6 linked regions of the Macaca mulatta genome follow. The protein of the gene in region 1 purifies or fractionates together with the protein of each later gene. This does not show direct contact. Links are inferred from orthologs where the notes say so. Each region holds a gene or a part of one and is shown in the gene's direction. Other genes may lie near its edges. The genes, in order: MAPK7, VBP1, PFDN5, PFDN4, PFDN6 and PFDN1.

What was found.
Region 2: the proteins of MAPK7 (region 1) and VBP1 purify together in Homo sapiens (affinity purification with mass spectrometry; 3 studies listed by BioGRID and IntAct, with this or other methods). This does not show direct contact. The link is inferred for Macaca mulatta from reciprocal best matches to the Homo sapiens genes MAPK7 and VBP1.
Region 3: the proteins of MAPK7 (region 1) and PFDN5 purify together in Homo sapiens (affinity purification with mass spectrometry; 3 studies listed by BioGRID and IntAct, with this or other methods). This does not show direct contact. The link is inferred for Macaca mulatta from reciprocal best matches to the Homo sapiens genes MAPK7 and PFDN5.
Region 4: the proteins of MAPK7 (region 1) and PFDN4 purify together in Homo sapiens (affinity purification with mass spectrometry; 3 studies listed by BioGRID and IntAct, with this or other methods). This does not show direct contact. The link is inferred for Macaca mulatta from reciprocal best matches to the Homo sapiens genes MAPK7 and PFDN4.
Region 5: the proteins of MAPK7 (region 1) and PFDN6 purify together in Homo sapiens (affinity purification with mass spectrometry; 3 studies listed by BioGRID and IntAct, with this or other methods). This does not show direct contact. The link is inferred for Macaca mulatta from reciprocal best matches to the Homo sapiens genes MAPK7 and PFDN6.
Region 6: the proteins of MAPK7 (region 1) and PFDN1 purify together in Homo sapiens (affinity purification with mass spectrometry; 3 studies listed by BioGRID and IntAct, with this or other methods). This does not show direct contact. The link is inferred for Macaca mulatta from reciprocal best matches to the Homo sapiens genes MAPK7 and PFDN1.

What each region holds. Positions count from the first base shown.
Region 1 is NC_133421.1:20,590,953-20,595,227, forward strand, and holds the start of MAPK7 (mitogen-activated protein kinase 7), read left to right. Parts: upstream 1-1,475; 5' UTR 1,476-1,816; coding exon 1,817-1,853; intron 1,854-2,053; exon of another isoform or gene 2,054-2,432; intron 2,433-2,600; exon of another isoform or gene 2,601-2,696; coding exon 2,697-2,933; intron 2,934-3,570; coding exon 3,571-3,736; intron 3,737-4,275. UniProt on the Homo sapiens protein: Plays a role in various cellular processes such as proliferation, differentiation and cell survival. The upstream activator of MAPK7 is the MAPK kinase MAP2K5.
Region 2 is NC_133426.1:161,513,092-161,516,591, forward strand, and holds part of VBP1 (prefoldin subunit 3), read left to right. Parts: intron 1-690; coding exon 691-815; intron 816-3,500. UniProt on the Homo sapiens protein: Binds specifically to cytosolic chaperonin (c-CPN) and transfers target proteins to it. Binds to nascent polypeptide chain and promotes folding in an environment in which there are many competing pathways for nonnative proteins.
Region 3 is NC_133416.1:60,439,652-60,443,949, forward strand, and holds the start of PFDN5 (prefoldin subunit 5), read left to right. Parts: upstream 1-1,498; 5' UTR 1,499-1,510; coding exon 1,511-1,582; intron 1,583-1,782; coding exon 1,783-1,885; intron 1,886-2,187; coding exon 2,188-2,219; intron 2,220-3,748; coding exon 3,749-3,823; intron 3,824-3,943; coding exon 3,944-4,049; intron 4,050-4,298. UniProt on the Homo sapiens protein: Binds specifically to cytosolic chaperonin (c-CPN) and transfers target proteins to it. Binds to nascent polypeptide chain and promotes folding in an environment in which there are many competing pathways for nonnative proteins.
Region 4 is NC_133415.1:107,034,852-107,039,145, forward strand, and holds the start of PFDN4 (prefoldin subunit 4), read left to right. Parts: upstream 1-1,494; 5' UTR 1,495-1,604; coding exon 1,605-1,628; intron 1,629-4,294. UniProt on the Homo sapiens protein: Binds specifically to cytosolic chaperonin (c-CPN) and transfers target proteins to it. Binds to nascent polypeptide chain and promotes folding in an environment in which there are many competing pathways for nonnative proteins.
Region 5 is NC_133409.1:148,999,055-149,002,121, reverse strand, and holds PFDN6 (prefoldin subunit 6), read left to right. Parts: upstream 1-1,268; 5' UTR 1,269-1,298; exon of another isoform or gene 1,299-1,511; 5' UTR 1,512-1,526; coding exon 1,527-1,590; intron 1,591-1,817; coding exon 1,818-1,888; intron 1,889-1,969; coding exon 1,970-2,094; intron 2,095-2,354; coding exon 2,355-2,484; 3' UTR 2,485-2,567; downstream 2,568-3,067. Other genes in the region: WDR46 (WD repeat-containing protein 46), read right to left, coding at 25-137, 281-361, 465-674, 772-849. UniProt on the Homo sapiens protein: Binds specifically to cytosolic chaperonin (c-CPN) and transfers target proteins to it. Binds to nascent polypeptide chain and promotes folding in an environment in which there are many competing pathways for nonnative proteins.
Region 6 is NC_133411.1:149,161,822-149,166,068, reverse strand, and holds the start of PFDN1 (prefoldin subunit 1), read left to right. Parts: upstream 1-1,447; 5' UTR 1,448-1,472; coding exon 1,473-1,505; intron 1,506-4,247. UniProt on the Homo sapiens protein: Binds specifically to cytosolic chaperonin (c-CPN) and transfers target proteins to it. Binds to nascent polypeptide chain and promotes folding in an environment in which there are many competing pathways for nonnative proteins.

The sequences.
Region 1 (4,275 bases):
TCCACAATGCGCAAGTCCATAGAGACAGAAAGTAGTTCAGAGGTTGCAAGGGCTCAGGTGAAAGAGGAATGAGGAGTGACTGTTAATGGGTATAAACCAAAAATAAAATTAGAATGCCCTTTGCAACCATCTAAATGGACTCCCTCCTTGGCCAGCACACCCTAAAATTTAACCTGAAAGACCAGTTCAGGCCACAGTGGGAGATGGGAGTTGGACATGCCTCATTATACCCCTCCAACATTAACATCAACACAGACCATAAGTCTGATAAGAAACATGTCTATTCTCTCTATAGCTGGCTACTGGTAGGCTTCAACTGCATAATAAAACGTAGGTCTCCCGGCCGGGCGCAGTGGCTCACGCCTGTAATCCTAGCACTTTGGGAGGCCAGGGGAGGGCAGTGGATCACTTGAGGTGAGGAGTTCAAGACCATCCTGGCCAACATGGTAAAACCCCGTCTCTACTAAAATACAAAAAAAAAAAAAAAAAAAGAGCTGGGCTTGGTGGCTCACGCCTGTAATCCCAGCTGCTCTGGAGGCTGAGGCAGAAGAATTGCTTGAATCCAGGAGGGGGAGGTTGCAGCAAGCCAAGATCGTTCCACTGCACTCCAGCCTGGGCAACAGAGCAAGACTCATTCTCAAAATAATAATAATATACTTAAAAAACCCAAAAAACCCTAGGTCTCCACAACCCCTTATCATAATCCAGATATTCCTTTCTATAGATAATAACTCTTGTAACCAACTGCCAATCAGGATATGTTTAAATCTACCTGTGACTTGGAAGCCCCTCCTCTTCGAGTTGTCCTGCCCTTTCAGAATAGACATTGAACAGACATTTCCCCAAAGGAGACAAATGGCCAATAAGCACATAAAATCAATGTCAATCTTGCACGTATTGATTTATGTATTATGTCTTCCTAAAATGTATAAAGGCTGGCTGTGCCCCATCTTGGGCACATGTTGTAGGACTTCTGGAGGCTATGTCACCACCATGTCCTTAACCTTGCTAAAATAAACTTTCTAAATTGACTTGAGACTTGTCTCAGATACTTGGTTCACATAAGTTTCTTTTAGGGGCGATGAAAATGTTCCATAAACCACTCTACCTAAAATTAGGTAGTGCTGATGGCTGCTCAACTGTGAATACACCAAAAAACACTCAATTGTACACTATATATGGTATGTTATTAAAAGTTGTTTAAAAGTGAGGGACCCCTCCAGTTATTGATACGGAATGATCTTCAGGAAAAGAGAATATGTTACATTTTGTACACGAAAGGGAAGGTGGGTACGAATATGTATTTGTATTGCTTTTTTCTATAAGCCGCCTAGGAGTGAAACCAAAATTCTTCACTTCTTTCAGCCCTACCCCGTTCCCTTTAAAAAACCTTTCCTTCCAGCTCACACTATCCACCATATCCATCTTCGCCTCCTGGCACTGAGCCTTAGAGGGGCGGTGCTCCAGAAACATTTGCTACATGAATGAACGAATCAACCATCGGATTTTGGGGTGGGTCGGCGCAGCTCGGTTCCAGCGAGGGCTCCGCCTACCAGCGGGCTCCGCAGAGGGACAGAGGCCGGGCGGCCGCCTCGGTTAACTCCGCTGCAGCCCAAAGCACGGGAAACGCGGGACAAACAAACGAGCGGAGGTAACACACCTGCAGGCCAGGAAACCCCCAGGTGCGGTCCAACTTGGCCGGAACCTGCGGAGAGACTCAGCCACCGGAAGTCAGTGGAGGGTTCGGCCGGCCGCTCTAGAATCCTGGAGGACCGGGATCTCTGTGGTTGGCCGTGACGGGCACCCTCTACCGGGGATGACACATTCCCAGAGCTCCTGGGACCGAGAAAATGGTGGGCACAATTCCCGGGGCGGAGGGGGACTTCGGGACCCAGTAGCCAAGATAACAGTCCCAGTCCCGGGCATCTCAGTCCGGACAGTTGCCCGAGCTCATGGGACTAGCTGTGATTGGCCGGACGAGGTCGAGCGCTAGATGGGGACGCGCGCGCTACGTGCATGGGCGTTGCCTTCCATTCACTTGGCGCCCGACTGCCAGTGCGCATGCGTTTGAAGGCGGTGCCGGGCGGGGAGCACACCCCTGTGAAGTGCCGGGCACCCTTTGGGCGGCTCCCGCCGGCTAGCTGGACAGCGGCGCGCGCCAGGCGTGGCTTCCTCGGCCGGTGGGCTAGGATTGGGCGCAGCAGGTAGAAGGGGCAGGACCCTTCGCAGAAATAGCTCAGCGATTGGCCAGGAGCTGGAGGGAGCGTGGTGTTGGGAGGCGGGGCGGAGGGGGACGGACAGGGCAGCTCACGACGCTGAGGTGGTGGCCGCGGCCCTTGAATAAGTAAGTGAGCCACCCTCGGAGACTCCCGCGCTGGGGACGGGAGGCCGGTGAGCCTCGGGACCTCTGAAAGCCTTGAGGAGGCGCGGGGGTGAGTGCGGCCCGGGGGAAACCCAGGTGCCCCGCCCCTCCCTTTCTTCCTGGCCCGCGCCTCGCCTCCCCATCCCCCGACCCTGGCCTGGCCCCTGCTGGGCCCCGACCCCTGGGGTAGCGTGTTTTCCCCGAACCAACCGCGCGCTTCTGGCCCTTGTCGGTTTAGGGAACTGGGAAGTTCCCTGGTCCTGCTCCCCAGCCCGCAGAGGGGACGCTGAGGCCCACGGGAGGCGGTCCCCTCCTCACCCGAGTCTCCACGCAGACACCATGGCCGAGCCCCTGAAGGAGGAAGACGGCGAGGACGGCTCTGCGGAACCCCCCGGGCCCGTGAAGGCCGAACCCGCCCACACCGCTGCCTCTGTAGCGGCCAAGAACCTGGCCCTGCTTAAAGCCCGCTCCTTCGATGTGACCTTTGACGTGGGCGACGAGTACGAGATCATCGAGACCATAGGCAACGGGGCCTACGGAGTGGTGTCCTCCGCCCGCCGCCGCCTCACCGGTGAGCTTCCTGAGCCGTCGCCTCCCAGATGTGGCAGCGTCGCAGGGAGTGGGAAACCGGCCCGTCCCAGACAGCTGGGAAGGAAAGCGGGGTGCGAGTTCTGGCTCCAGTCAACACACGCTGACCAGGACCCTCTGCCTGCCAGGCTCCGGGGAGGCTCGGTTCTCTGAAACTCTGGCCTGGGGGTTTTGCCATCCTGCCTGCCTACTTCCTCCTTAGAAAAATGACAGTCCCAGTTAGACCAGAATGGAGAGCCATTCCTTCGTGTCTAAGAGACAAATGTGTTCTGGAGCCAGACACTGGCACAAGGAACTGGTGGTGGGATGGGTGAGGTCTGAGATGCAGAGGGTGTAGGCATTAGAGACTGAACTCCACCACTGGGCAGCCGTGCAACCTCCAACAAGTTACTAAGCCATATTTCCTTCTCTTTAACATTGACCTATTGGGACCTGCCCTGTAGGGGAGTTGTGAAGGTCACATTTAATAATGTAGGTAACATGCTTGGCACATAGTAGGTACCCAGTACTTGGTAGCTGTTGTCATTTGCATCCTAGAAGGGAGGTGTTGATAGGGGCTGGGTCGACTCTGCAGTTTCTCCAAGGTATCCTCTGGTGTGTCCCTGTTCCCTGCTCCTCAGGCCAGCAGGTGGCCATCAAGAAGATCCCTAATGCTTTTGATGTGGTGACCAATGCCAAGCGAACCCTCAGGGAGCTGAAGATCCTCAAGCACTTTAAGCACGACAACATCATCGCCATCAAGGACATCCTGAGGCCCACTGTGCCCTATGGCGAATTCAAATCTGTGTAAGAAGCGGGATGGGAGAGGGAGCCAGACTTGGGACTTTTCTGAAGGCTGCACTCATATTGCTGAAGTTCTGGAAGGGCAGCTGAATCTAATCTGAAGCAGGCTGGGAAAATTCCCGCAGTCCTAGGACCAGTTCTCCTTTAGAGTTTTGCCAGGGACAACTGTTATTCCTCAAGAAATGTACAGATGATTTTACAGTTTTATAGAATCTTAGTATGTAGGATGTCAAATGTAGGACATTCCTACTATGACCACACCCTCCTATTCCCATAGCAGACTTCACTAATCAATCACAGAACACTTTCCTACAGACAGTGGACAAGCCTGATCAATTTTCATCATAGTTCTTCAAGCTGCCACTACCAAACAATGGAGATAGCCCCAAAAGGAAACCTATTGGCCAGCCCTGGTGTAGTCCAACCCCATCTTTTATCTGATGGGGAAACTAGGTCTGGAGACAAAAGTGATTTAACCAAGTTCATGGAAAAGTCGTAGAGAATCTAAAACGTGATGCTCTTCTTCCATACCATGCCGTCAG
Region 2 (3,500 bases), on another chromosome or scaffold:
GTGGATTGCCTTGGGAACCCAGTAACCATATTTAGTATGATTTCTATGGCAAAACTTGTTGAATTAAAAATAAGTAATAAAATTGATAATCTTGACATACAACCTGTAAAATCATTTTGTGAATAGGATGCATGAATAGGCAATGTATTTGATTGTTAGTATTTTCATATTTACTACTAGGGATGCATGGGAAATGCATAAATGGTGGGCAAAGTCATTCTTCTTTTCCTATTTATAAATAAAAAATGAAGAGGAAAGTGAAAGAATAAGTTAGCTATATAATATATATATACGGTCTGAAATTGTCTCTAACTTTTTATAACTACAAGTTGAGCATCCTAAATCTGAAAATCTGAAATCCAGAATGCTCTAAAATCCAAAACTTTTTGAACACCAATATAATGCTCAAAGGAAATGCTCATTGGAGCATGTTTGACTTTGGATGTTTGGCTTGGGGATGCTCAACTGGTATAATGTAAATATTCCAAAATCAAAAAAAAAAATCTAAAATCCAAAACAATTCTGGTCCCAGGCATTTTAGATAAGGATGCTTAACCTGTACTTTTAGTTAAAAACAAACCTTTGGAGGAAAAGCTGTTTTTCTTTTATGTTTTAAAAACAAAGCAGTCAAAAAATCTGATGAGTGGCATGAATTCTAAAATTTGTAAAGTATTATTTCTGATATTAAAGGAAGATGTAGATTCCTTCATGAAACAGCCTGGGAATGAGACTGCAGATACAGTATTAAAGAAGTTGGATGAACAGTACCAGAAGTATAAGTTTATGGAACTCAACCTTGCTCAAAAGAAAAGAAGGTAAGTGTAAAACTTTCTAAGTTTTGAAAATCGTATATGGCTTGAACTTTAAAAAAATTGAGATATAATTTACATATGATAAAATATTCAGATATCAAGTCCTCCAAGGTGGCTGTACCATATGAAATTCCCACCAGCAATGTACAAGAGTTCCAGTTCCATATCCTTGCCAACACTTGGTATTGCCAGTCTAAATGTGGTTTTGAAAACATAATAGAATGGTTATTAAAGACTGTATTCCAAAGCTTTCAAAATCATAACATCTTATATGTCTAGTTTATCCTTCTAATTTTGCCAACAAGATTAGAGACCCACAGGGTCTGGGGCACAAGACTTAATTAGTTATGAAATCCCAAGATTTCATAACTAATAGGCATAGGAAAAAAGGTATCCTTACTCTCAACTCTTTATTTCCCTACATAATTTTATATAGCTTATAAAGTCAATTCACTGTAATAAATATTTGTAGATCTCTGTTTTGTACATGTGCCAGCATTCTTCTGTGAGATAAATATTTATGGAATGCCAGCTAGATGCCACATACTGTTTTGGGTGAAATAACATCCAGTATCTGCTTTCAACAAGGACACAGGACTGGGCATGGTGGCTCAAACCTGTAATTCCAGCACTTTGGGAGGCTGAGGTGGGAGGATCTCTTGAGTCCAGGAGTTCAAGACTAGCCTGGGCAACTTAGGGAGACCCTGTCTCTACAAATAATTAAAAAATAATTAGGCTGGGCGCGGTGGCTTGTGCCTGTAATCCCAGCACTTTGGGAGGCTGAAGTGGGCGGATTGCCTGAGCTCAGGAGTTTGAAACCACCCTGGGCAACATGGTGAAACCCCCGTCTCTACTAAAATACAAAAAAATTAGCCGGGCATGGTGGCACGGGCTTGTAATCCCAGCTACTCGGGAGGCTGAGTTGGGAGAATCCCTTGAGCCCGGGAGGTGGAGGTTGCAGTGAGCCGAGATTGCGCCACTGCACTCCATCTTGGGCAACAGAGTGAGACACTGTCTCAAAAAAAATAATAATAATAATAATTAGCTGGGTATGGTGGCATGCACCTGTGGTCACAGCTACTCTGGAGGCTAAGGTGGGAGGATCACCTGAACCCAGGACGTTGAGGCTGCAGTGAGATGTGATCATGCCCCTGCACTCCAGCCTGGGCAACAGTGCGAGATCCAGTCTAAAAAGCAAACAAACCACACAAAAAACCAGGGACACAGGTTGGGGGGAAATTATAGGTATATAAATAAAATTAGCACACAAAGTAGAGCAGTGGAGGTACTTCGGTACAAAGTAATGAGTTACAGGGGATGGTAACTCATTACTTTGTACCAAAACACCTCATTAATCTGGAGGGGCCAAGGAGGTTCAGAGGAAGCTTCTAAGAGGAACAGATACCTGTGTAGAATTTCAAAGATTAGTTATGAGTTTGGAGGCAGACTAAAGTGAGGAAGGGTGGTCTGGGCATAAGGCACCATTTATGCAAAGGTACAGAAGTTTGTAGATGTATTTTCTCATTTGATTTTGGTGACAGTTGTAGAAATTTGAATATGTACTTTGTATTAGATGAGATGAAAAGTCATTGACATGGAAAGATGGAGGGTGTAAATGGACAGAAGCAAGATAGAAATCATTAAGAACAGTATACTCTTATTTTGGAAAAAAATGTATATATGCACAGGAGTATCTAGAGAAGTCCACACTAAAGGCATATTAACAGTGGTAATCTCTGGGTAGTTAGAATATGGCATTTTTCTTGTTTTTGCTTATCTGTATTCTTAATTTTTTACAATGTACATGTACTGCTTTTGTGATAGTAAAAGTTTATTTGAAAAAGAAAAAGCCATTGGATTTGAGATCATCTACAGGGAGGTTACAGATAGAGAAGAAAATGTGCCTTGGGGTGGGGTGCAGTGGTTCATGCCTGTAATCCCAGCACTTTGGGAGGCTGAGGTGGGCAGATCACTTGAGCCCAGGAGTTCAAGACCAGTGTGGACAACGTGGCAAAACCCTATATCTACAAAAATTAGCTAGGTGTGGTGGTGCATGCCTATAGTTCCAGCTACTAGGGAAGCTGAGGTGAGAGTATTGCTTAAGCCAGGGAGGTTGAGGCTGCAGTCAGCTGTGAGTGTGCCACTGCACTCCAGCCTGGGCAACAGAGTGATACCCTGTCTCAAGATAAAAAAAAAAAAAAAAAGGAAAAGAAAATGAGCCTTGGTACCGAGTCCTGGGAGAGAGGGAAATTTGTGTATCAAAGTTACATTGCTCTTCTAACTAGTAAATTAATGATAGACGAAAAAAAAAAAAAAGAAAAAAGTTATATTGCTAACTCTACAACTGTGGTATATAGCAGGATACTCACTCTAGCTTAACATATGGTCTAGGCCTAAATGTGGGGAGAAGGGGTAAAAATTCGAAGCACTGAGGAAGCATCAGTGAACATTGGTGTTCTGGATGAGAACAGTGTTTGTCTAGTGTTTTAAAAGAGAATGGTAGAGTTGGAGATAGTGAGTTAGGAAAACTTTCTTGAGTTTTACCTATTTTAATAGTGGGTTGGTTATTTTTTTGAGACAGGCTTTCTCTCTGTTGCCCAGGCCAGAGTGCAGTGGTATGATCACAGCTCACTGTAGCCTTGACCTCCTGAGTTCAAGCAGTTCTTCCACCTCAGCCTCCCAAGTAGT
Region 3 (4,298 bases), on another chromosome or scaffold:
CCTCAAACTCCTGGGCTCAAGTGATCTGCCCTTCTCGGCCTCCCAAAGTGCTGGGATTGCAGGAATGAGCCACCATGCCTGGCCAAAACATTTTATTGATTAATTTGTGCTCTATGTGTTGACAATGGTGCTTCCTTGCTGTTCTCCCACCAACTCACTGGCAACGGGTTATAAACCCTTTTTCAGATCCTACTAGGTGTCAGCCTACTTCCGGCTGGGGGAAGATGGTCATAGCCAGAGGGGAAGAATTAGTTCAGTGATGAGAACATGGTTGGTTCCTGCCTTCAACAAGCTTTCAATCTAATGCCTGATTTTTTTTTTTTTTTTTGAGACGGAGTCATGCTCTGTCGCCCAGGCTGGAGTGCAGTGGCCGGATCTCAGCTCACTGCAAGCTCCGCCTCCCGGGTACACGCCATTCTCCTGCCTCAGCCTCCCAAGTAGCTGGGACTACAGGCGCCCGCCACTTCGCCCGGCTAGTTTTTTGTATTTTTTAGTAGAGACGGGGTTTCACCGTGTTAGCCAGGATGGTCTCGATCTCCTGACCTCATGATCCGCCCGTCTCGGCCTCCCAAAGTGCTGGGATTACAGGCTTGAGCCACCGCGCCCGGCCATGCCTGATTTTTTTCAAGAACAATTCAGAACGGTCTGACAAGGGATTTTTTTGTTGTTGTTATTTGTTTTTTTTTCCCTGCCTTTCGGCCTCAGAGGCCATCTGGGAAAAATAGTTTAGAATTTCCCTGCCATGGCCGGGCGCGGTGGCTCAAGCCTGTAATCCCAGCACTTTGGGAGGCCGAGACGGGCGGATCACTAGGTCAGGAGATCGAGACCATCCTGGCGAACACGGTGAAACCCCATCTCTACTAAAAAATACAAAAAACTAGCCGGGCGAGGCGGCGGGCGCCTGTAGTCCCAGCTACTCGGGAGGCTGAGGCAGGAGAATGGCGTAAACCCGGGGGGCGGAGCTTGCAGTGAGCTGAGATCCGGCCACTGCACTCCAGCCCGGGCGACAGAGCCAGACTCCGTCTCAAAAAAAAAAATAAAATAAAATATAAAGAATTTCCCTGCTGTGCGGGGAGGAATATTTGAAATCGGACCTGGCGGGGTACCAGCAGGCAGCACAAGCAGGTGGGGTAGAGAGGGGCAGGACGAGGCCCCAGGAGCCGTCACCATAGCAACCCAGCCTGCTATCTAGTAGCTTATACCACCCACGTGGAGTAGCATACACTACTTTGTAATATCGTGGTTGTATCGTGAGAACTTTAAGATTTTGCAGTTCCCTATGGGCAGGAGTCCTGTTTGCTGCTACTTTACTGTACTAGGCTTAGAATATTTTATGAAAATAACTGACAGATCAGCCTCTGAGAAATTCAAGCCCCTCCTTCCCTTCCGGGACGGAGGATCATAGAGCTGTATGGCGCAGCGAGGCCTCCTGGCGCCATCGAGACGCGCAGAGGACGGCTAGAGCGTTGCTCGCCGAGGGACTTCCTCTTCGTTAGTCCTCCTTCCCAACATGGCGCAGTCTATTAACATCACGGAGCTGAATCTGCCGCAGCTAGAAATGCTCAAGAACCAGCTGGACCAGGTAGTGACGGGCCCCATAGGCACCTCTTTCCCGCTCTACATCCCCCCTGCCCACGCGTACTTCCTTGCGCCCGGTCCCAAGTTGGGAGCCTACCTTGCCCAGGCGAAACCTCTATCCGGTCCCAGGACCCGCCCCCTCCCCGGCCGCTCTCCCTTTTCCCCATAGCCCTCTCATTGACCCGCTATACCCGTTCTCTGTAGGAAGTGGAGTTCTTGTCCACGTCCATTGCCCAGCTCAAAGTGGTACAGACCAAGTATGTGGAAGCCAAGGACTGTCTGAACGTGCTGAACAAGAGCAACGAGGGTATGGGGTAGGGGGGTGAGGGCAACCTAAAGTGGCAAGCCTGCTTCTCTCGTCCCACCTCCTAATCCAGTTTTTCTTACCTGAAACGAGAAAATCCATTACATATCGTATACCGCTTCATGAACCCTTTGCATGTTGCCTACCTAGAATTGAAATGTACAGGACGTTCCTCTGCTTCTATTGCCCCTGTTTCCGTTCTTTTCACACTGTCTGTGGGTGCTGTGCCCTCTTGGAACTCTCTTTAACGTCTTACATTGGAGCCACTAACCTTCCCCAGGTGTTTGTCTTCATTGCTTTCACAGGGAAAGAATTACTTGTCCCACTGACGAGTTCTGTATCCTTTCCACAGGAACGGCTACCTGCTGCCTTCTCCCTTTCTCCCTCACTCCTCCAAAAAGCAGGGAGGGGGATTGTTTTGATTACTTCAGTACTTCAGATTATCCTCTCCCCACAATGATTTTGATAACACCCTTTTTTTTTTTTAAAGACGGAATCTTGCTCTGTCGCCCAGACTGGAGTGCAGTGGTGCGATCTCGGCTCACTGTAACCTCCGCCTCCTGGGTTCAAGAGATTCTTCTGCCTCAGTCTCCTGAGTAGCTGGGACCGCAGGCACGCGCCACCACGACTGGCTAATTTTTGTATTATTAGTAGAGATGGAGTTTCACCATATTGGCCAGGCTAGTCTCGAACTCCTGACCTCGTGATCTGCCTGCCTTGGCCTCCCAAAGTGCTAGGATTACAGGCGTGAGCCACTGCCCCCGGCCAAGAGTACTCTTATTACACACTTTGTAGCTCTTTTATCTAACTTCACACCAACATCCAGCTAATGCCTTGTGAACACCAAGGAGTATGTATAGTTGAGATGTAATATTTCCCTTTGCTATTTGAGAACATTAATATGGAGATAAAGCTGGTGGTTTACACTTTGCTAATATCTTAGAAGATACAGGTAATAGACAAAAATAGGAGGATATAGGAACAGGGAGGTTGGCTCTGTTAATTGTGGCTCATTTCTAAACTGTCACTAAGAAACCTGGATTGTGTCCACTTGTTCAGTGTTTTACTTGAATGAACAAGTTATGGCAGTAGGGCACCTTTAATCTGTAGTCTGAGAACTGACAGGCTAAAAGGAGCACAGGAATAGTAGTGTAGTAGGGAATGGTTAAAAAAAAAAATTAGCCAGGCACGGTTGCTCACGCCTGTAATCCCCAGCACTTTGGGAGCCAAGGCTGGCAGATCACCTGAGGTCAGGAGTTCAAGATCAGTCTGGCCAACATGGTGAATCCCCGTCTCTACTAAATATACAAAAATTAGCCGGGCGTGGTGGCACACACTTGTGATCCCAACCACTCCGGAGGCTGAGACAGAAGAATCACTTTAACCCGGGAGGCGGAGGTTGCAGTGAGCCAATAGCGCGCCACTGCACTCCAGCCTGGGCAACAGAGCGAGACTCTGTCTCAACAAACAAACAAAAAAAGAACTTCGGTAGGAATTATCTACTTCATGATTGAGGGTGTTAAGGGAAATGAGGCTGGCTTTCCACTTGTAGTACTCTACAACAGTAGGAAAACATTATATCTAGTCTTTCTGATGGGGCTAATGAGAAGAATTGCAAGAACTGCTTAGAGGGTGAGAGATGGGATGAGGCAGAACAAAAGGGTGTTCCAGCATACATCATTTTCTCCTTAAAGAACCAACTTCTCAGTCTTCTTTCCATTTGGAGTTATTGTTCTAAGGCCTCCAGATTATTCAGTCCTTATGCCTTGAAGCTTTTTGGAAAAGGGTCTTTGGAGGCCAAGCAGGCTGGCTGGCGGAATCATGGCTCATGCTGGGCTAGTTTTTGCCTTAATACTTGCTTCTCAGATGTATGTCCCTGGGAAGCTGCATGATGTGGAACATGTGCTCATCGATGTGGGAACTGGGTACTATGTAGAGAAGGTGAGTGAGAGCATGTGGATGCCCCTCTGAACAGGGAAGGGAAATTTAGGGGAAGTTCTAGAGTGCAACATGGCCAGAGGGAGTCTCCTTTTAGCCCCTCATTCACCTCTGATCTTGTAGACAGCTGAGGATGCCAAGGACTTTTTCAAGAGGAAGATAGATTTTCTAACCAAACAGATGGAGAAAATCCAACCAGCTCTTCAGGAAAAGCACGCCATGAAACAGGGTAAGTTTTTCCTGGGGCACCTCTTGACCCTGTCTATCTCCATGATAAAGAACGTGGATTGCAGAGTGAACCACGGGGGTGTCCCCTTTGCTGGAGTAAAACTACGTCTTAGTTTCTCTTTGGAATCTTTAGAATCTGTGTATTGCATAATCACTATCTGTAGATTCCTGGGTTGAGTGTTTGAGAAATTTAGAGGAAGGAAATCATTTTTGTGCTTTGGTGGAGCTCCTTTTTAATGAGGATGGAATG
Region 4 (4,294 bases), on another chromosome or scaffold:
GGGGAGAGCACAAGGTGCTGTAAGGTCTCATTCCCCTCATTGAACCAAAGAGGAAATTGGGACTTTGAGAAAGGAGGTGGCTTGTCAGGGGCAGTTCTCAAGCTGTGGTCCATGAACGTCGGGAGTCCCTGAGACCTTTTCAGGCATCCATGAGGGCCTCCCTTTCCCAACTGCATGATTTGTGTGAGGCTGGGGTTTTTCATACCTACAACTAGACAACTAAACAGTATATTTGGAGAGACTGAATGCAGAAGTACACATGAGAATCTAACCTTCCATTAAGCCTGATATTAAAGACATCAGTGAAAATGTAAAACGATGACAGTCTTCTCAATTTGTTTTTGTCTTAGAAAATATAGGTATTTTTAAAGTGTGATTTTTATTACCATGGAATGGAGTTTTATATTATTTTAAATGAATTAATAACTACATTTTTAAAATTCTGCTTTAATTTCTAATACAGCAAATATCGATAAATAACCCACATAAAAATTCTCTGGAGTCCTCAATAATTTCTAGGAGTACAAAGAGATCCTAAGGCCAAAAAAAAAAAAAAAAAAAAAAAAATTACTAATTGGGAGATACAAGTGTCAGAATATACAGTAACTGTTCAGTAATATTGCTGTAAATTAATCAATAGGATTGCCTATTCACAACAGCAAAGGCATGGAATCAACCCAGGTGCCCATCAGTAGTGGATAGGATAAAGAAAACGTGGTCCATATACACCATGGAATACTATGCAGCCATAAGAAAGAACAAAATCATGTTCTTTGCAGCAACATGGATGCAGCTGGACATCATTATCCCAAGTGAATTAACAAAGAACAGAAAATCAACCACTCATGTTCCCACTTACGAGTGAGAGCTAAACACTGGGTAATCATGGACATAAAGATGGGAACAACAAATGCTAGGGATTCCAAACACGGGGAAGGAGGCAGGGGAAAGGTGTTGAAAAATTACCTAGGGAGTACTATGTTCACTACTTGGGCAACGGGATCATTAGAAACCCAAACCTTAGCGCTATGCAATATATCCGTGTAATAAACCTGCACACCTACCCCCTGAATCTAAATTTTTAAAAAAATTACATTAAAAGATAGGAGCGCCTCCTCCTTTACACCACCTGAATTATCATGGCACGTAAGTCTCACACCCTATTTGCCAAGGCCATTCGTTCCTAGCTCTTTTACAGGGAGGTCAGCTTTCTCAATGCAAGTCTGTGGGACGGATGCAGAAAAATTCCCCCAGCCTCCCCTTTGATCCTGCCCCAGCTGGTCCCCGCCACGCTGAGGGACGCGTACCCTGGGACGCGCACCCTGCTGCCCGCAGCCGGAGCCGTTCGCCACACCCCCGTGTTTATGTCGGCCCACGGGGGTTGCCTGTCCCTTTAATTGGCATGTACCAAGTCTTTCCAGGTCACATTTCCTCCCTACGTCCCAGCCGTTTGGAATCATTAGCCAAAAGTCCAAGAGGAGGGAATGTGGAGACAGTGTTGTATTTCTGCGGGGAGTTCTGGGCCGACCGGGAGCGAGAGAACGCTCGAGGACGAAGCGCGCCATTGCGGCCCTCCCCGCCGCGTGCCGTAGTCCAGTCCCAAGATGGCGGCCACCATGAAGAAGGCGGTGAGTGGGGCGCTCGGGGCTCTGGATGCGCGGGTGGCGCCGAATCTCGGCCGCGGGGGTTGGGGCGCGGGATGCTGGGGGTGCGCAGCTCCGAAGCCCGGCGTGGGACCCGAGGCCGAGGCCGAGGCCCTGAGAGCGGCCCCGCGGCAAGGCCTGCCCGCGCCTGGCGCCCTGAGCGTTTTCCTAGGCACCTGGCCAGCCGAGGCGGGGAGCCGGGGCTGGGGCCGGGAGCCTCCGAGGGCCCTGGGCCGCCTCCCGCGATGCCGAGGGTGCCCCCGGGGAGTCTGAGGAATCTGCAGCCCCAGCCTTGCCCCTAAGGTGTGGGAAGTCGAAGGTCTCGTTGAGTGTGGTTGGCCTTGACTCGGGCGTTGCACCGGCATGATCGCATTAGCCTCATTGGTTATGGGTAGCTGCTGCTGGGACCGTGGTTACGGGTGAGGAAACTGAGGCCCAGAGATGGGAAGTCACCTGCCTCAGGTTACGCAGCTCATAAGGGGGACAGCAGGTTCCTGCATCCCCGGATTATCAGGCCCAAGAGCCCCCGTGTCCAACCCGGAGCTGCCCATGTCCACGCTCTATGCCCCTGAGTCCTCCAGGCTAAAACCAGTATTTATTGAAGACGGACGATCTGCCGGCCCAGCAGCCGGCCCTTTATCCGTTATCCTCCCCGCAGCTCAGCAAGTGCAATGGGTTCCTCCCCACTTTGCAGGTAGAGAAACTTAGACACAGAGCAGTTAGGGGCCCCAAAGTGACTCAGCTAGTAAGAAGCTGAGCTGGAGTTCGAACTCAGGTTTGGTTTGGTTTTTCTCAAAGCACACCTATGTAACCACTAAGCAGGCTAAACTTCCATGTCGGGTTTATAAATCCGTGGCTTCCCAGATGTGTAAAGATAGCTAGACAGAAGAAAAAGAAAAGTGGAGAGGGGGAAGGAAATAACGACTGACAATTTGGGGAGCTTTACAGTGTGCTAGGTATAGCTGTACTTTTTTTTTTTTTGGGTGTATTGTTTATCTTATGTACTTTAGGGGAGATACTGTTTTTATCCTTATTTAACAAATGAGAAAACAGGCACGGAGGCAAAGCTAGCATTTAAACACAGGCATTCTGACTCCGGAGTCTGAGTTTTAAACTGCTATAGGGGGTCTTCCATGAGAATCTCTTGGCTGGCGGGATTTGCATTCATTCCACTTTTAAGACCACATTAGAACTTCCTTTGCTTTACCCCCATCCAGTACCACATAGTCTATGCCATCTGTGCCTGGTGTAGGGTGACCCATTGCCCCGTTTTATATGAAATTGAGGGACTGCCAAAACTGGGAACGCCCCAGCTAACTCAAGATGTGTTGCTCACCCTACTATTCTGCCATCCAAAAATTCTTACTGAGTCCCAGAGTAGGGTCCAGGGCCATGGTGATTCAAAACAGTATGAAACTTGGTGAGATTCACTTCACCTCTAGTTTGTGAAATTGGGCCCTCTGGTGTTAGGTATGGCCTTTAATTCCTTGAAAGATACTAGTTGTGGTTCACTCCGTTTTATAGGTATGGAAACTGAAGTGCAGAGAGGTGAAGTAAATGGTCAAAGAGGAAATGGCAGAAGAATGATTTGAACCCTGGATTTTGATTGCAAAATTTCTAATTATCAACTTTTGTTTTCCCCCTTTCATTGATTCAGTAAATTTTTGGGGGCATGTAATATGGCATAGTCTCAGTTTTAAGTGGAGACAACTGCGGTGACCAGTGAGGAAGTTCTTCTCCCCTTATTCTTATAGCCCCAAAGAACGTATGTTCCAGGACAGAGGCAGGCATTACTCACATAGTCACACAGAAAACTAGTTTCTCTGGTGAGAACTGTGAAGGAAAAGTACTTACGAAATGAGGGCCAAAATGAGGTCTGTTTTGAGATCAGAGAAGGCTTTCCTGGGAAAGTGCCATTTAAGTTGAGATCTGTGAGATTATGTAAGGAAAGAAAGGGAGAGTTGGATAGAGAATGAAGCATTCTAGAGAGGAGTATCTGCAGAGACTCTGAGTACATTTAATACAAGGAAGGCCTGATGGCAGATAATCAGGGGAAGAAAGTTTGAGCCATGATGGGAAAAGAACTTGTAGAAGGGTAGGTGGTGGCCAAAATATAAAAGATCTTCGTTAACTTTGAAGCCTTTGAGAGTCACATGATAGATGTAATGTCCTCCTGTAGATGTTTCCAGTGTTATGAACAATTCCCGATAGATTATCTTACATGTACGCTTTTCCCCTTTGCCCTCAATGGGAGAAAACAAACATGTATGCCAGTGAGTGAGAGTGAGACAGAGAGAGAGAGCCCTTTGAGTTTAATGAAAAGCAAATCATGTACAATCTGGAGTACTTTACATTTGTAACACATCGTTATCTCTCAACTGGTCATGATTTTGCTGGGGAGAATGTTTAGATGAGATGATTCAGTACTCTCATCTCTAAAGTTCTGCCTTCTAAGATCCAGTTCTTGACCATAAGGAGATCTGCACTTTGATTTCTGTTGATTATCCTACATACAAATGTTCTTTCCTCAGAGAGGCTACCTTTGACCTTTATCTAAAGAAGCCTCCTTCACTCCCCAGGCCCCCAAAACTTTCTTCTCCTAAGCTATTGTATTTTCATCATCACGTTTGTCACCATCGAACATTATCTCG
Region 5 (3,067 bases), on another chromosome or scaffold:
GGGTCCAGATTAGGGCCCACTCACCCCGGTTCCTCAGCAAGCAGCAGCTCAGAACGAGCAGCTTTGATACTTGTTTCCTCTTCCTCAGCTTCAGCCACCTCAAGTCGGCTTCGAGTTTTGGCTTTAGAACGTGGTAGCTATAACATTGTTGGTGGGGAGGAGTGGCAGAAGAACCATAGGATAAGTGGGGTCACAGGAGAGCTACCTAGCCCAGCCTCCATTCAACTCACCCAGACACTCCCTGCCTCCAACACTTCCCAACTCTCCGGCTGGACCTCACCTTTCGGGATTTGTCAATACGACAGAACTTCTGGACCACCTCCACAGGGACGGGGGCGGGGCCTGGGAATGGATCTTGGGCCTAGGGGAAAGGAGAACGCAGTTAGTAGACAGCCTTGGGTTGACCCCAACCCTTTCAAAGCACAAGGCGGCCTGCCTCGCCACCCATTAGGTTCCACGTTCACCCCGGACAAGCTCCGCTGGGACTCCGGGTTCTTCCACTCTCGGGGTTTCTTCGGGACCTGAGGCTGCTTAGAGATCCGAGACTTCTTTAATATGTGAGCATTTTTTGGTCTCTGAGGACGGAGCTCCCGATTCTTCTTGTTACAAGGAGGCCCTGGAGAGGCTCCGTCTGTGGTCGGAACAGTCTCTTCCTCCCAGTATCGCCGCGGTTTCTACAAGCAGATCAGGAACTCTGATACTCCGCACCCACGCCCCGCCCCCCCGACCCCGCAGCAAAAAACTTCCTTTCCCACCCAGGGAGGCCGATACCTTTCTCTTGGTCTGAAGTTTGTCTTTCTTGGGCGGGACATCCCTGCCCGGCTTGGGGGCTGTCTCCATCTCGCCCATCCGAACGGCGATCCACGTGCAAAACTCCTCTCAGCTGCCCCACAGTCGGCTTGAAAACTCCCGGAAGCCCTCTATCCTTCATCCAATCAGTAGCGTACCAGGTCTGAAGCTCTCTAGGCGCCATCTTGAGTGAGGGCACACTCTCCTTAGAGGGGCGGAAGAGCTCTTGGCACCTTATCGGGAGCGGCAGCTTATGCAAGAGTGACTTACAAAAGAAAGGCAGGCCCGGGACCAGGGGCTAAGTAGCGGTGCGGTTTCTTTTTCCGGGTTAGTTTCCCCATCTTGCCTAAAAATATCCGAGTCCAGTCTTTGTAGCAGAACTCCATTCGCTAAACATGTCAGAACTACACTTCCCATCAAGGGTCAGAAAGAAACTTCCGGCGCAGTCTTTTCCCGGCATTCCTCGTTTACTTCCGGGTTTATTACTACTGAAAGCAGAACGTGAATAGGTTAGGATTTCGGTTGAGAGGCTTACGGTCTTGCGTTTCGCCCACCATATCCTGGGGACGGGGTGGAGTCGATACCCAGGACCGGGGGGAGGTGGCGGTGCCCCTCAGGGCTGCCTCTCAAGAGTGCTATCATTTCCGCAGGCGAGATCAGAAAAGTGAGCTCAGGTACCTTCCAGAGAGTGAGACGCAGCGCCCTTGTCTCGCTCCCCGTAGGCTTTCATCCCCGCCATGGCGGAGCTGATCCAGAAGAAGCTGCAGGGAGAAGTGGAGAAATATCAACAGCTACAGAAGGGTAAGGGAGCAGGGTCGGTATGGCCTCGCCCAATGCACTCACAACCCAAAGCCATTACCGAGATAAGGTTTGTTGCCCCATCTGGGCCCTTGCGTGCAGAGACTTTCCCGCTTCAGTACTCTTCCCTATTCACTGACCCGCTGCCCCCATCTTTTTCTGCTTCCTCAGATCCATATCCACCTGACTAGGATTGATGTTTCTAATCTTGCCTTTCCTCTTATCCCCAGACTTGAGTAAATCCATGTCGGGGAGGCAGAAACTTGAAGCACAACTAACAGAAAATAATATCGTGAAAGAGGTGAGGGACTGGGATTTGTGGGGCGAGGAGGGACCTGTACTAGCCATGGTTCTGATCACGTATGTCCCATCCCTCCATCAGGAACTGGCCCTGCTGGATGGGTCCAACGTGGTCTTTAAACTTCTGGGTCCGGTGCTAGTCAAACAGGAGCTGGGGGAGGCTCGGGCCACAGTAGGGAAGAGGCTGGACTATATCACAGCTGAAATGTGAGTCTTTATTCCACCACTGTGTGCTGCACCCTGTGATGCAGTGAACCATTGGAGTAGAGGTGTTGAACCATTGCAGAACAGCTCTCCATAGTGGCCCCTAGTCCTCCAGTTCCTCCAACCCCTTCCTTCCCTTTTAACCCCCCTTCTCCCTTCCCTAATCTCAAGTTTTCCACCTATCTCTTTCTTGCGTTTAGCACCCTCCTTAGTAAGTCCTACTAATTTCTCCCTTTCTACTTGTCTCCCTTGTCTCTCTTTAGTAAGCGATATGAATCCCAGCTCCGGGATCTTGAGCGGCAGTCAGAGCAACAGAGGGAGACCCTTGCTCAGCTGCAGCAGGAGTTCCAGCGGGCCCAGGCGGCAAAGGCAGGGGCTCCTGGCAAGGCCTGACCCCTTGGTGGGGGGAGGGGAGGGGAGGGAATGAGGCAGCTCTAGCATCTATACTGTAGCTAATAAAATGTAAAAACACCTGGCTCCGTTTCCTGACCAGGCGCTTCTGTCATATCCCCACAGTCCCTTCCACCTTCACACACACCACCTGTATTACCCCCTCAGGTTCAAACTCTTGCACTTGGAACTTCTTTGTGGCACGATGTTCTTTCTTTCTTGAAAGTGAAATCCTAAATGTCCTCAAACCTACTTCTTGCCTGTATATACAACCCTTAACTTTCCCTCATCTTGGTTGGCATGATTATTTTGGAAGGGCATTTACAACATAGCGTATTACTAGGAATGTCAGTTCAATTGAAAAAGAATTCACAGTTCTCTAACCTGAGGCCCCAGGATGAAATGTGGTTACCCTCTTTGCCAGCAGCCCTGGCATCTCTATTGGTACTTTTCAGCCTCTGTCTTCCTAGAATTTGCTTGAATGTAGCTTAAACTGACTTAAAATCCCAGCACGTAATGCTTTGTAGTGTATAAGTCCTCCCAAGTTTATATGTTGTCCATAAAGTTGTTCTGCCATTTCCTTGTC
Region 6 (4,247 bases), on another chromosome or scaffold:
TGAGCCGAGATCGTGCCACTGCATTCCAGCCTGGGTGACAGAGCGAGACCCTGGCTAAAAAAAAAAAAAAAAAAAAAAAAAAAAAAAAAAAAAAAAAAAAAAGGGCCGGGCGCGGTGGCTCAAGCCTGTAATCACAGCACTACAGCACTTTGGGCGACCAAGGCGAGCGAATTGTTTGAGCTCAGGAGTTTGAGACTAGCTTCGGCAACAAGGTGAAAACCTGTCTCTACGAAAAATCCAAAAATTAGCTGGGTGTGGGTGGCGCGTGCCTGCAGTCCCAGCTACTCAGGAGGCTGAGGTGGGAGGATTGCTTGAGCACGGGAGGTAGAGGCTGGAGTGAGCGGCGATTGCACCACCGCACTCTAGCCTGGGTGACAAAGCAAGATCCTGTCTCAAAAAACAAACAAACAAGCAAACGTACCAAAAAACAAAACAAAAAACCAAAACCACAAAATATCCAAGTGACTTGCTCAAAGTCACACAATTAGTAAATGGAACCAGACATAAGCTAAAGGTGGACCAAGCCTTGAATCTGGATCAGGCTGGTTCCAAATTCCCTGCCCTTTCATCTCCCTAACAGTTTGTTTTGTTTCTCTCTCTTTCTCTTTCTTTTTCTTTCTTTCTTTCACTCTCTTTTTAAAAAAAAAATAAAATAAATTTCCTAATTGTTTATGTAGCACTTTCTCTTAGCATAACAGTTTTTAGAGTAGGTAAACATTTCTTTTTTTCCATTTCCAAAAGTCAATTATTATCTATTCTTCTGGTTCAAATGCCAGGTCCTTTTATGGCAGAGATTCTCAAAAAAGTGATCCGCAGAGGAGTTGCACCATTAGCTCACTGGGAGAGTTTGCAAAAGTGCAAATTTCCAGACCCCATTCTCAAAGATTCTGAGTAAGTTTGAGATGAGACCCAGAGAACCTGCATTTTTTTTTTTTTTAAACAAACGTATTCAGCCTCTCTTTTGAACCACTGTGCCTAGAAAGTCTTTGGGAAGCTTTTGGAAGTAGTAAGTTCGTCTTGGAAAGAACACTCCAGACAAGCTTTCCGGTAGTCTTTCCCAAACTGTCATGCCTGAGGTTCTGGACTTATTCTTACTGATCCCTGACAGCACAGCGACTAGCTGAAGGATTCTGATCGACTGATGAGGGTTTGACCTCATCTACATACATCCCAGTTTAGCAGCATATACTAAGCTAGCTGGCAAACTGCTTAAAGCCACATGGGAAATCTGCGCGTTGGGCTATGTCTGGAAGATGTGGAGGAGCAAGCCAGACCTGACCGGTCAGATAGTGGAGACACTGAATCCGAAACCCAAATATTTCAGGGGTTAATCAATTCTCATAGAAAGGTAGGAAGCCCGGTTAGTCCAACTCATGCGCAGGCGCAGAAGAAGGACGGATGCACAAAGTGAGGCGCGCCCTTCCCCCACCCTCTTTCAGGCCAACTCCCACTGCGCAGGCGCATACACCAACATGGCTGCCCCCGTGGATCTTGAGTTGAAGAAGGTAAAAGAGGGTCTTGGGCAGGCGGAGGCCTTCTCTTTGGAGGCTGAGGGGACTATAGGCAAGAATATCGAGTGAGGCACGAGCCTTGCATAAGGAAGGAGGGTCCAGTGGACTAGGGAATGGTTTTCCAGAGTCCTAAGGCCGCACTGCGTCTCCGTAAACTGGGGTGGGGGGCGAGCGGCTCTTGCTGGGTAGGAGCCGGTTTGGGTGAGGTAAGTCTGCGGGCCTATCTCGGGCCTGTGCAGTCTTTCTGAGCTCTAGAGAGCTTTCGTTGCGTTTGGAGGCTTCAGGGACTCACTTTCATAGTAAGAACCAAAGAGAGCATTTCAAATGGGGGTGCCTTCGGACCCCTTGCCTGAGTTGTGGCATCCGTAATTCTGCCTCATTTGCTTTGAAAAACTCCAAGTCCAACCTTTGTTTTTAGGCCGTTTATTCGGTTCTATACCTTGAAAGGTTGCGGTATCTACAGTTCGGAAAACCAGGCATTGTAACAGCAATGTTCATTTCAAGATTTGGGCCCTCCCCTTCTTTTTAAGGACTTGTCAAAAAAAAAAAAAAAAAAAAAAAAAAAACAAACAAAACAAAACCTTCTTTTGAAGGACTTGTCAAAAAAACAACAAAACCAGTAAAGTTTTCCAAATAAAACCGGTATCAGAAGGAATTGGGTTTCCTGCTTTCCTCAGTTGCTTATAATGTGTTGTTACTCATATTTTTGCTGTCTAAGAATGATCAGCATTCTAACACCACTAATGACCCCAAACCAGTATGCTTTGTGCGGTGGGGTGGATTGGAAAGGACTCTAGAATTTATCTATTTTAAATCTACTTTTCTAGAAAAGGAACCAGTGCTAGAAGAGTCTGTCAGAGGTTGGGACTAGAATCCAGTATTCTCTGTCTTACCTCACACCTTTTTTGTTTTTTTTTTTTTTTTGAGACAGAGTCTCGCTAGTGGCGCAGGCTGGAGTGCAGTGGCGCGATCTCGGCTCACTGCAAGCTCCGCCTCCCGGGTTCATGCCATTCTCCTGCTTCAGCCTCCAGAGTAGCTGGGACTACAGGCGCCCGCCACCTCGCCCGGCTAATTTTTTGTATTTTTGGTAGAGACGGGGTTTCACCGTGTTAGCCAGGATGGTCTCGATCTCCTGACCTCGTGATCTGCCCGCCTCGGCTTCCCAAAGTGTTGGGATTACAGGCGTAAGCCACCGCGCCCGGCTACCTCACACTTTTTTGACCACTATTTTGGATTCTTCAGATGAGCAACATCTTAGTTAAGACTGTCTCTCTGGTCAACTTGTGCAAAAGAAATAGGACAGCCGAAATAGCTGTTGCTTCTAACAAATGAAGCTTTTGTTATGGTTCTGAGGATATTATGTGTTTGTGTCTTGCTTTTGTTCTTGTCTTGAATCTTGTAAATTTAGCTCTTAGGTGGAATTCCCTCATCTTTAACGGTGTACTAGCTCATCTTTAACGGTATACTAGCTTCCTTAGCAAGCTGTACAGAGCAGTCAGATAATACCTGAAATTTTACATTTCAAAACAAAATTGTGCATTCTAAAAATTTACCTTTTTTTAAATTAAAAGTACCGATTTAAATCAGGGTTTAGTGAATGGATTTTCCTCCTGGTACTTTTGAATTTGTTGCTACATTTGAAAAATGTGGACAGTGAATGCAAACTAAGAAAATGATTACAAACTTAAACTGAATAATTTTGACAAATGATTAATTTAAAAACTTGTTTAAAGGTTTTATCTTCTAATGTTGTTACAGGGTCCGTTTTTTGGGTGGAGACAAATAGGACATTTCAGGCCCCTCCCCTTCTCCAAAGTAAATCTTTCAAAATCTTACTAGTAGGTGAAAACAAGGTCACAATAAAAATTATGTAGTAACCTTTGCTGTACATTGCAGTCACAAATTATTAAGGCACCAATTTGACAGCATATGAAAGTCATTCCAGGCACTTCAACAAGAGTATCCAAGAACTGTTTATTTTCCAGTTAACTAAGTGTACGCAAGGGTCAAATTTGGCCTGATGCAATTATTTTGCCAGTGCTTTGCATTTTTTCTATCTTTTTGGTCTTCCTCTTAAAAATGTTCATATTATGAATATTACTATAGACAGTGGAATGGAAAGATTGCTAAACTAAGGGGTTAGAAGAAATGTCTTTAAATACACCTCCCTTTCCCTCTAATAGTTGTTCAAACTTGTGCAAGCCACTTTTATCTCTTAACTCATTTAGTTACTTAATTTGTAAATTGTGGATGATGAAACTGCCAATGCTAACTCATGGCATTATTGAGAGGCATAAATTAGATATTATATTTCCTCATTAATATTCTTATATTAATATTCCCATATTAATATTTCAAACTAATGTGAGAAAGTGCTTTGAAACCTAATTGTGCAATACAAATGTAGTGAGTTATTACTTTTATGGTTCTTGTTTTGAATCTCTGGGTTTCATCCTTGACTATTGCGTTTATTTCTTTTACTACTCCTTGAATACTTCTTAATATGGTTATTATTTAATGTGCATTTGTTTTGCTTCACACTGTTTGTATCTTCTGATGATTGTAAATTCAGTATTTAGTATAGTGACTTGATCGTTTACAATTATGTTGACTTATTGATATTTGGTAAATTTCACAACTTTGTCTCTGGCTAGCATGTTTTGTTTTAATATATTTGGATTTGACATAAATGTTTCCTGTAAAATGTTTAACCTACTAAATCATGGACTTGTTTTT